2 linked regions of the Oryzias latipes genome follow. The protein of the gene in region 1 interacts with the protein of each later gene in a pairwise test. Links are inferred from orthologs where the notes say so. Each region holds a gene or a part of one and is shown on either strand. Other genes may lie near its edges. The genes, in order: kifap3 and ncf2.

The links.
Region 2: the proteins of kifap3 (region 1) and ncf2 interact in binary tests that used the Homo sapiens proteins (3 or more experiments, as listed by UniProt). The two-hybrid records come from large-scale screens. The link is inferred for Oryzias latipes from reciprocal best matches to the Homo sapiens genes KIFAP3 and NCF2.

What each region holds. Positions count from the first base shown.
Region 1 is NC_019875.2:21,195,289-21,199,669, reverse strand, and holds the start of kifap3 (kinesin-associated protein 3), read left to right. Parts: upstream 1-1,563; 5' UTR 1,564-1,728; coding exon 1,729-1,757; intron 1,758-3,864; coding exon 3,865-3,996; intron 3,997-4,241; coding exon 4,242-4,381. UniProt on the Homo sapiens protein: Involved in tethering the chromosomes to the spindle pole and in chromosome movement. Binds to the tail domain of the KIF3A/KIF3B heterodimer to form a heterotrimeric KIF3 complex and may regulate the membrane binding of this complex.
Region 2 is NC_019878.2:10,710,580-10,715,061, reverse strand, and holds the start of ncf2 (neutrophil cytosol factor 2), read left to right. Parts: upstream 1-1,571; 5' UTR 1,572-1,801; coding exon 1,802-1,975; intron 1,976-2,165; coding exon 2,166-2,248; intron 2,249-2,391; coding exon 2,392-2,500; intron 2,501-2,612; coding exon 2,613-2,747; intron 2,748-3,111; coding exon 3,112-3,219; intron 3,220-3,319; coding exon 3,320-3,379; intron 3,380-4,287; coding exon 4,288-4,331; intron 4,332-4,482. Other genes in the region: garem1 (GRB2-associated and regulator of MAPK protein 1), read right to left, coding at 1-119. UniProt on the Homo sapiens protein: Subunit of the phagocyte NADPH oxidase complex that mediates the transfer of electrons from cytosolic NADPH to O2 to produce the superoxide anion (O2(-)).

The sequences.
Region 1 (4,381 bases):
ATGGATGGATGGATGAATGGATGTTGACAGTGTTTAAGTCAGAACACTCACAATCAAAAGAGTCAAAGTACAGAATAGTTAACATCCAACAGAACATGCTGGACAGCAGTTGTATTTAGGGGCAACTAGGAGTAAATCCTCAAGTGTGGGGCAGCCTGTATGAAAACACTGCTTTAAAGTCATATCATAGCTCACCAATAAATTGTCTTGACCAGAGTTTCTTTGTCTGTCTTTCTGTGTGGCATTGTGTGGAGGGATGATTCTTTTTGTCTTTTTTCTCACTTTTTCATACCAAAACTAGTCAAATCATTAATCGGTGCTCGCTAAAAGGACAAAAAGCCCTATAACAATCAAGTGGGACTTGTCTGCATGTTTAGTTTAGCTTAATGAGTCTTATAGTCTGAAAAGTATATTCCTTTTTAAAATTAAAATAGTTTTATTTTTCTTCAACCAAAGAGCCACAATAGAGGCTTTAAAGAGCCACTTGTGACTCCACAGCCTCAGGTCACTGTCACTTTAGGAGCTTGTGGTATATCTGGAACAAAAGGAGGAACTTGGTTGGAACATGTGCACTTGGTTCAGCAGCTGCACAGGGGCTCAAAGAAAAGCTCTCCAACGGTCATCAGCACCGCCCAAAAGATTGTTGACTGCTCTCTCCCCACCTGGAAACTCTCCACAGCTCCAGCTGCCTCAACAGAGCGCAGAATATCTTTAGAGACACATCACACCCCAGACATATTAAGTTCTGTTTGTGCCAAAAATATATGGGTCAAGCAGAGTAAGGACAAAAAGACTCTAATACAGTTTTTACATAATCCATAAAAATGTTAAATGTGGCTAGGAAACATTTAAGCTGGACTTCCGCTAAATTGTGATACAACGGACATTTTCTTCTTCATTATTATTATTATTATTATTATTATTATTATCTGAGTTTAACACATATTGACTATCATGTTTTTTTTTAGCAGTAGTCCATATAAAGCAACAAATTGGTTTAATTTCAAGTTTTAAGCACTGCCCAATGTACTTCTATGTTTTACTTTTTATTTTAAGTGGTAGGTCTTTACCATGGGTTGTTTTTAAGGTATGACAATTAATGATAAAGATCTATCTATCTATCTATCTATCTATCTATCTATCTATCTATCTATCTATCTATCTATCTATCTATCTATCTATCTATCTATCTATCTATCTATCTATCTATCTATCTATCTATCTATCTATCTATCTATCTATCTATCTATCTATCTATCTATCTATCAAAGCACAGTATAACATATAGGGGGGATTTAATGAGACTGAACAAAGTATTGTATCTTACAATTAAATTTGCGACAGCGGCTCGAATTATTTTAAAAAGCTCTCCTTTACTGACTCAAGTTGTGTTGTGGACATTAAACTGTGCCCTATACAATTGTATGTGTAAATTGTATTATTACACATTACTTTCTGCTTCTGATCGTATTTCTTTTCCAGCTGTGAGGATTTGGATTTGAAATGTTGCCTTAAAGTCATTACTTAGGGTCTACATTCCCCCTGTAAGTTATAACTCAGGGCACCATTTGCCCACCGACGGCTAACCCTCTAGCTTTGTATTATTGTATTAACTGCCGCTATCATTGACAGTCTGTGACGGGCAACCGCTGTGATTTCGGAGTAAGCTCAATCAGATGTGATACAACTATAGAAATAATAAAAGGGTAAATTAACATTTACAAGAAAATGCAGGAAGACACGCGCTGCCTCAAACGGTGAGTTAGAATGAATGAGTTATTTTTTGTCGATCGATCATCGACCAAGGCCTAGAAGAAAGAAGACGAGCTCTGTAATATTTAAATGAAAAAGTGATTGATTAATTATATCAGCAAGTATTTGTTTTTTGTAATTCGCAAGAGTCGTCACTTCACGAAAGACTATAGCCTAGCAAACACGTTTATATTTTGCTTAATGGGTACGGAGAGAAAGGCGTGCTGTTATTTATTTGCTTTCTTTTTGTTAAATGTACACCACATCTCGCAATTAAAGATGACTGTCGCTGCTTTGCACAAAACAACAACAAAACGCATGTTAAATTGTTACCTGAGGGTTTTTTTTTTTAATGAAGGGGCTTATGGGAAATCAGGGGGTTGCTAGCCTAGCTAATGAGCTAAACATGGAGAGACTAGTTTAAACGGCAACAGATAATATGTATTGTTTTACTGCTTCAACAGCTGGTTGTTGGTTTTCAGTCATAAGACAGTCAGCGTCCGCGAGTGTTTGTGATACACGTCGACGATGGAGATTCCAATAGGCCATCCTTTTCCCGTTGTCCAGCAATGTACGACAAGATTGACATCATCATATTGGGAGGGGCAGTAAATAACGACACATGGCTTTGCAGATACAAAATAAGACCCAGGCCGTGGTATCATGGCCCGTCCTGCTATCCCCACTGCCAAAGTGGAACAGCAACAGCCACATGAAACAGTGGTTCCACAGGAAACACAAAGTAAAACATTGGAGTTTTGGATAATTGGGTCTGGAAAGTATCACTGCCCAGCTGGGGTCAGCAACTTTCCTGTTGGCCGAGCGATGGATCAAGGTGGCATGCTAATGGTTCAAGTCTTTTTTCAATGATCATTTGGAACCATCTCCCTTCAGTCTCCCTGCAGTGGAACTGCAGTGGATCCATCCACTACTACCACACTCACCCCGCCCGGTTTGTGTTTCTGTTCGCAGGGCTCTCTACCTACTAGGGGTGTAACGATTCATTTGAACAATTCGATTCGGTATTTTTGCCAATCGATTTCAATTTGGCTTCATTTTGAACAATTTGATTCAATGTTATTCACTGACCTAAAATCAATCCAGAACATCTTCAGCTAACATTTCAACCAGTGTGACTCAGAGAGAAGCACCTGGTACTGAGCAGTGAAGGGGGGCATTCCAGAAAGCAGGTTATGCGAGTTACCACGGTAAGTTTGAGGCTAAGGAAGCGGATAACCTCATCTTTCAGTTCCAAAAATGGAGGTATGTTTCAGGGTATGTCAAGTTGCCATAGCAACTCTTGCTCTGAACATAACCTGGTCTGGAGCTGGTTTAGTTGAAGGTTACTTTGTTTTCAGAGAGGTGAAGGAGCATGGCGAGTCCATTTGAAGATGATTTAGTGGATGAAGAAGCTCAGATAATACTTTTTCCACCATGAGAGGGCGATAAGACCATGTATGGATGTTCAAGATTCATGATTTGTTTTATTGTCATTCCACATATAGTATTTGCAGAGAAATACACAGATGAGACGAGATGTTGTTTCTCACTAGCATGACAGTGCAAGAAAGCAGCAATAATAAAAAATAGCAATAAAATAACAATCCAAGACTGGAAAAAAAACAATGAAATGAAATTAATAAAAAAGGAAAGATAAACTTTTTTACATTGATCTAACTTAATTATTTGCTTCAGTTAAGATAAATCTTTTTTTTAGTTAAGGCTGCTTAAAAATAACACGTAGTTATCAGACTTTTATTTTACTTTCATTCAATTTAATTCAATTAAGTAGATGTAACTTTGATGCTGCTGTTAGAGCGGCACCGCAAGGGATTGTGGGATACCATTTCCTTTGCCTGTCTGGACGGATTTGGTTTTAAGTGTGGGTTTTTGACCAAGGCTGTTTATTTGTTTAGCTGTTTTACTGTGTTTTGCCTAGTTATTATGTCCTACTATGGTTAAGTCTCTGCACCATGAGTGAGAGGGAGGGAGAGGATGATGAGTTTATTTGTTCTCTGTCATTAAAGATTATAATTATGTGTTTGTTTTTTTCACAAGACATTTTAGACTGTTAACATTTTGACCTCATATTTGTTCAATTTTGATCCCCAGCAAAGTGACGTTAGGGAGTCTGGATGTCCATCCCACAGAGAAGGCTCTGGTTGTTCACTACGAGGTTCAGGCTGCTGTCTTAGGAGGTGGTGGAGGTCCTGTGCTTGGTGAACGCAAAGAAGGACAAAAAATGTATGTTTCTTGTTATCTTTCCTATATTTAAATCAAACGGATTGATTAACTTGTTAAGTTAGTTTGGATTTGTTTAAAAGTTGTATCCACCAAAACTGGATTAGCATTGTTATACATTTTTGCAATGATTAACAATGAAAAATTAGCTACTTCTAAATGCATCAGCCTCTACATTCTCCAAATGGAAATAATAGATGGAGTCAGTTATTTGTGATGCTTCAATGTTTGCCCTTCTCTCCATTTAGAATCCGTTTGAAGAGCCTCTCTCCTACCACAGATGTGGCAGCGTTGGCTAAGAAAGTGGTGGAGGAGTGCAAACTCCTCCCTGCCTCCCGTTTGCCACAAGTGGAGCAGCTCCTCTACTACCTGCAGAACAGAAAGTCCT
Region 2 (4,482 bases), on another chromosome or scaffold:
TTATCCAGCATGACAATTTGTGGCAACTTGTACGCACTGACCAGCTGGTCTAGCGGCAGAGACGTCGTGCTCCACGTTACATCCTTTAAGTTATTGTACAACATCGTTCCAAGGTCCATTTTGCTAGCTTAAGTTAGTTAGCCACTTTTTGAGCTAACTGGTGCAAAACACGGTCACAAAAAAGCTTTCCCGAGCAAACTAGCTACACAATTATAGCTGCTCTTCATCTATGCAGTTGTGTCATGCACATGACGTTCCCAAGTCGTAGCTGCATAGTTCCCTCTAAGTTTCCCTACGTATCCAAAAGGTTCGTTGTTAGAAAAAGTAGCCAAGCCATGTTTGTTTAGTAGCGACGGCAGTATCAAGCTAACTATTCTAACGGAAATACGTCACTTTCTACAATTTTATTTTTATTAAATAAAAGCCTTTCCCTTTTCCCCCTCCAATTAAAATTGATGAATAACAAGATTTAAATCCCGGAACAACAACTCAAATTATAACAAAATTATACAAGTACATAGCAGGTGATAAAACATTAACAAAAGAAGGGAAAAGGCCAAATAAAGTGCATTCTTTAGGCTTTTCCATTAGGTTTAATTTTTTATAACCACTTCAATAATTTCACTGCGTTTTCTTTTGTTTGTTTTTTTGCTTATTTTTATTTATTTTTTACTTCTCACAAACAATTGAACTCCTTCTGATAAAATAGTCTGGATTACAAATTAAAAATCTATTTTAGTAAATAAAATATATTCCAAAAATTGTGAAGTTTCGTATCATTTCGTAATAACCAATCGATACATTTTCTAACTTTATGGCTTAGCTATTTTATATCTTATCTAATTTTACATCTTAGCTTTTGAAATAAAAGTGTTTGTTCCAACAGATGTAGAAATTGGATTTTAATGGAATGGAAGAAGTATTTACTATTTACTACATACTAAAGAAAATGCATTTAATTAATTCAAGATAAGTACCAGAAAGTATATTTTTGTCTCGCTAAAAGGTTGGGGAAATAAGAAAAATTTTAAAGAGTGTTGGCCAACAATTCAACAATTTTAAGGACAAGAGAAAAAAAATCAAAACTCTAAAATAATTTATTTTCTTATAACTTTGTTAATGTTTACACTAATCTATATAACTTAAAGAAAAAGTCTATTAAAACCTGAGATGTAACCTTTTTTTTTTGTTTGTTTTTTCATTCTATTTTGTTTTGCAGACTGTAATGCCAGATTTAAGCCTCAAACTTTGCTAAATAATGTTAAAATAATGTTTTAATTACTCATAAGTTTTCATTTATCTCTTAAGGCACATAAAATAAAAGAATAAATTTAAAAAACATTGAGGTAATAAAATAACCTGTTCTTTTGTTTTGGCTAAATATATGGGTTCACACAATTTTTATTAATTCATTTTTAATCAGTGAAGTTTTGGAAAATCTTAACTTAAGGTAGACTTTGTGATGAGTAAATGAAAAAAAATGAAAAAAATACGGTATTGCTAATACAAATCCATGTAAATCATAAAATTAACCAAAGATAATGATGAGGTGGGGAGTACTACTATTGCACTTTACTTCATTATTTACTCTTAAAATACTACAGTAAATATTTAAACACCCATAATTTTTTCAGATCAACGATTCACAGATCAAACCACGATTCTTACTATATTGACTTGGACTCAAGAGCACATGGCGTTGATGCAAATTCATTGAACGTTGTCATCAACTTCCTGTTTTTCATGGCATAAATCAGAGAAACTTCCTCAATTCAGTCACTGTGTCTCAGCGGCAGCCAAAATGTCTTTTGTGGACACTCTGCGACAGTGGGATGACGGCGTAACCTGTGCTGACAAACAGGATTTTTCGGAAGCTCTCCGGATTCTCTTGGCCATTCCTGAGCCAAACTCCAAGATTTGTTTCAACATCGGCTGTCTGCATCTGCTTAACCAGAACTTGGATGATGCTGAAAAGGTAAAGTCAAGCATTTCTCAACTATTAATTTGCTCCTAAAATAGAAAACTAGAAATCTGAAAACATCAGTTATCTGGATGCAACCGGTGAGGCAGAGATTGAATTCGATTGTAGTGTAAGTGCGAGTCGCAGTGAAACAAGAAGTGGTGCTGAAAGCGTTTTTGTAAAGGAAGTTGCTGCTGTTTCATAGGCGTTCGATTGCAGCATTCGCAAGGATGAGCATTTGGCAGTGGCTTTCTTTCAAAGAGGAATCACCTTTTATAAGAAGATGAGGTAAGACACACCGGCTTTTTACAAACAACGACCAATTTCCTTCCATTTCATTCCAAATTCAGAACACCTGTTAAGTATTTGCACCTAAACCACAAGTTTTCACTGATTTGTTATGCAATTTATTTGATCACACATCTGTAAAGGTACGAAGAGAGCATTGGTGACTTCCAGAGAGCCTTCAAAACGCTAAGAGGAAACAACCTGATCGATTACAAGGCCCTTGGTCTCAGATATATTCTATATGCATGTGAGGTAGGTGTTTTCAACCTTAGGCACAATCTACTACATCATCACTAAATCATAACACCTTCCAATTCTGCTGTTTGCATGAGAAAAGCTCTAAATAAAATCTCTCCTTTCAAAGGTTCTCCACAACATGGCCCTGGCTGAGGCTCAGCTGGGAAACTGGGAAAAGGCTGAGCAAAACCTCAGGAAGGCGCTTGACTACAAAACAGACGCCAAGCTCAGTGTCATCGAAAAAGCTCAGCAGGCAGTCCTGGTTAGCATTGATCTGATGAAAAACGAGGGTTTCTCTTAAAGTGCCCAATTTACATGGAGGGGGGGGGATCTAAAAAGTAATTTTAACAGTCGACTGGGATAGGCTCCAGCAGCCCTGTGACCCCTATAAGGGATTCAGCAGGAATATAAATAAATATTTTAAAATGTTAATCCACACATTTAAAAACTATTAAACAAAACACATCTGCAGTTTCATCTCTGCTAAGGATCTCGTCAGAGTAAATAATGTCTTTATTTGTCCAGTAAGTTCAGGTCCAACCGTGCCTCCATGGAAAGTTTAGGGACAGAATGCGGTTTTGAAATGTCAGATTTAGGACATCTTTTTGATGCGATTTCATTGACAGAAGGAGAAGCTGTTCAAACTAGTGGAGTTCCCATCAAAAATGATGTTTAAACCAAATAAACATTACGTTGCAGAGCTGGAGAAGAAAGACTACCTGGGCAAAGCCAAAGTAAGAATAAATCTTTTTCATTGAAATAAATCATCTTACATGATTTGGGAAATCTTGAGGGTGAACTTAACAATCTGTGTATTGTTTGTTTGATGATCAGGTTGTTGCCTCTGTCAATCCACAAGACGATTTTTCTGGATTTGCTCCTCTGCAGCCACAGGTGACGGAGATTCGTATTTTTCGTTGCTAAATGCTGTGATGAGGCAACAAAAAATTCTGAAAAATTGTGAAATGTCCACGCAACCTTCCAGCTTGAAAATGAGCCTTAGAAGCATGCGATGTTTGTTTCTCCCTCCTACATTTTTTATTGACACTAAGCTAAAAGCAGTGACAAGTGTAGTACAACTTGTCGGGATCGAAAAAGTATCCATTCATCCATCCGTCCGTATCTCAATCACTTTTCAGAATAACCTGTAAGCAGAAAGTCAGCACATCTGCTATTCAAGCTGTTTAAAAGACAGAGAAGGTCACAAGTCCCTTTTTTCCAAGTCCAAATCAACTCTGAAGTCTCAAGTCTGTCATTTCAAGTCTCAAATTTGAATTTTAATGAAGAGTCTACTAACACAAATTGTCATCACATTTTTGTGGACATTAAAACAGACAGTTTATGTTTCGGCAAAGCTTCTTAAAGATAATTTTTTAACAAACATTATTTATTCACAAGTCCCAAACCTGGAGGTTAAATTCAAATATTTGCATGTGAGACTTTGGTCCAAGTCAAGTCCAAGTCACAAATACAAGTCCCTATCTGTCATTCCATCAGAACCAGAACATCAGGAGGTTGAGTCATGGTTTAAACACAGTCAGTAAACAAAATCTTATTTGTGGCAGGCTGTTGTGAAAAAATTCTTGAATCTTTGGATGTGCATTTAAACATTGCCCATGTATAAAAGATTTTATGCCTTTTAATTTTATATTTAATTTGAAATTAGGATTACCTTTTGTGAGTTTTGTGTGTACATCCCGTATACTAGACAGGACTGGGGAAAACACTGGAGCCCTCAAGAACCAGTATGACTCAGTAAATCAGGGACTGACTGGATAATCTCCTTCTTAATCACTAAACAGGTTGAAGATGGTCCACTTTCTCCAAGAGAACCAGAAGTTTTAAGGTACATCCCAAGTTTTTTTAAAAATCTATCAAGTAGAAATTGATAAAATGTTTTTTAATATCTTTTTGCTGAATGTCTTTGTCCTTTCGTGTAAAAGGGTTTTCTAATTTTCATCAAATTAAACGTCATCTTCCTTCAATGACAAAAAGAC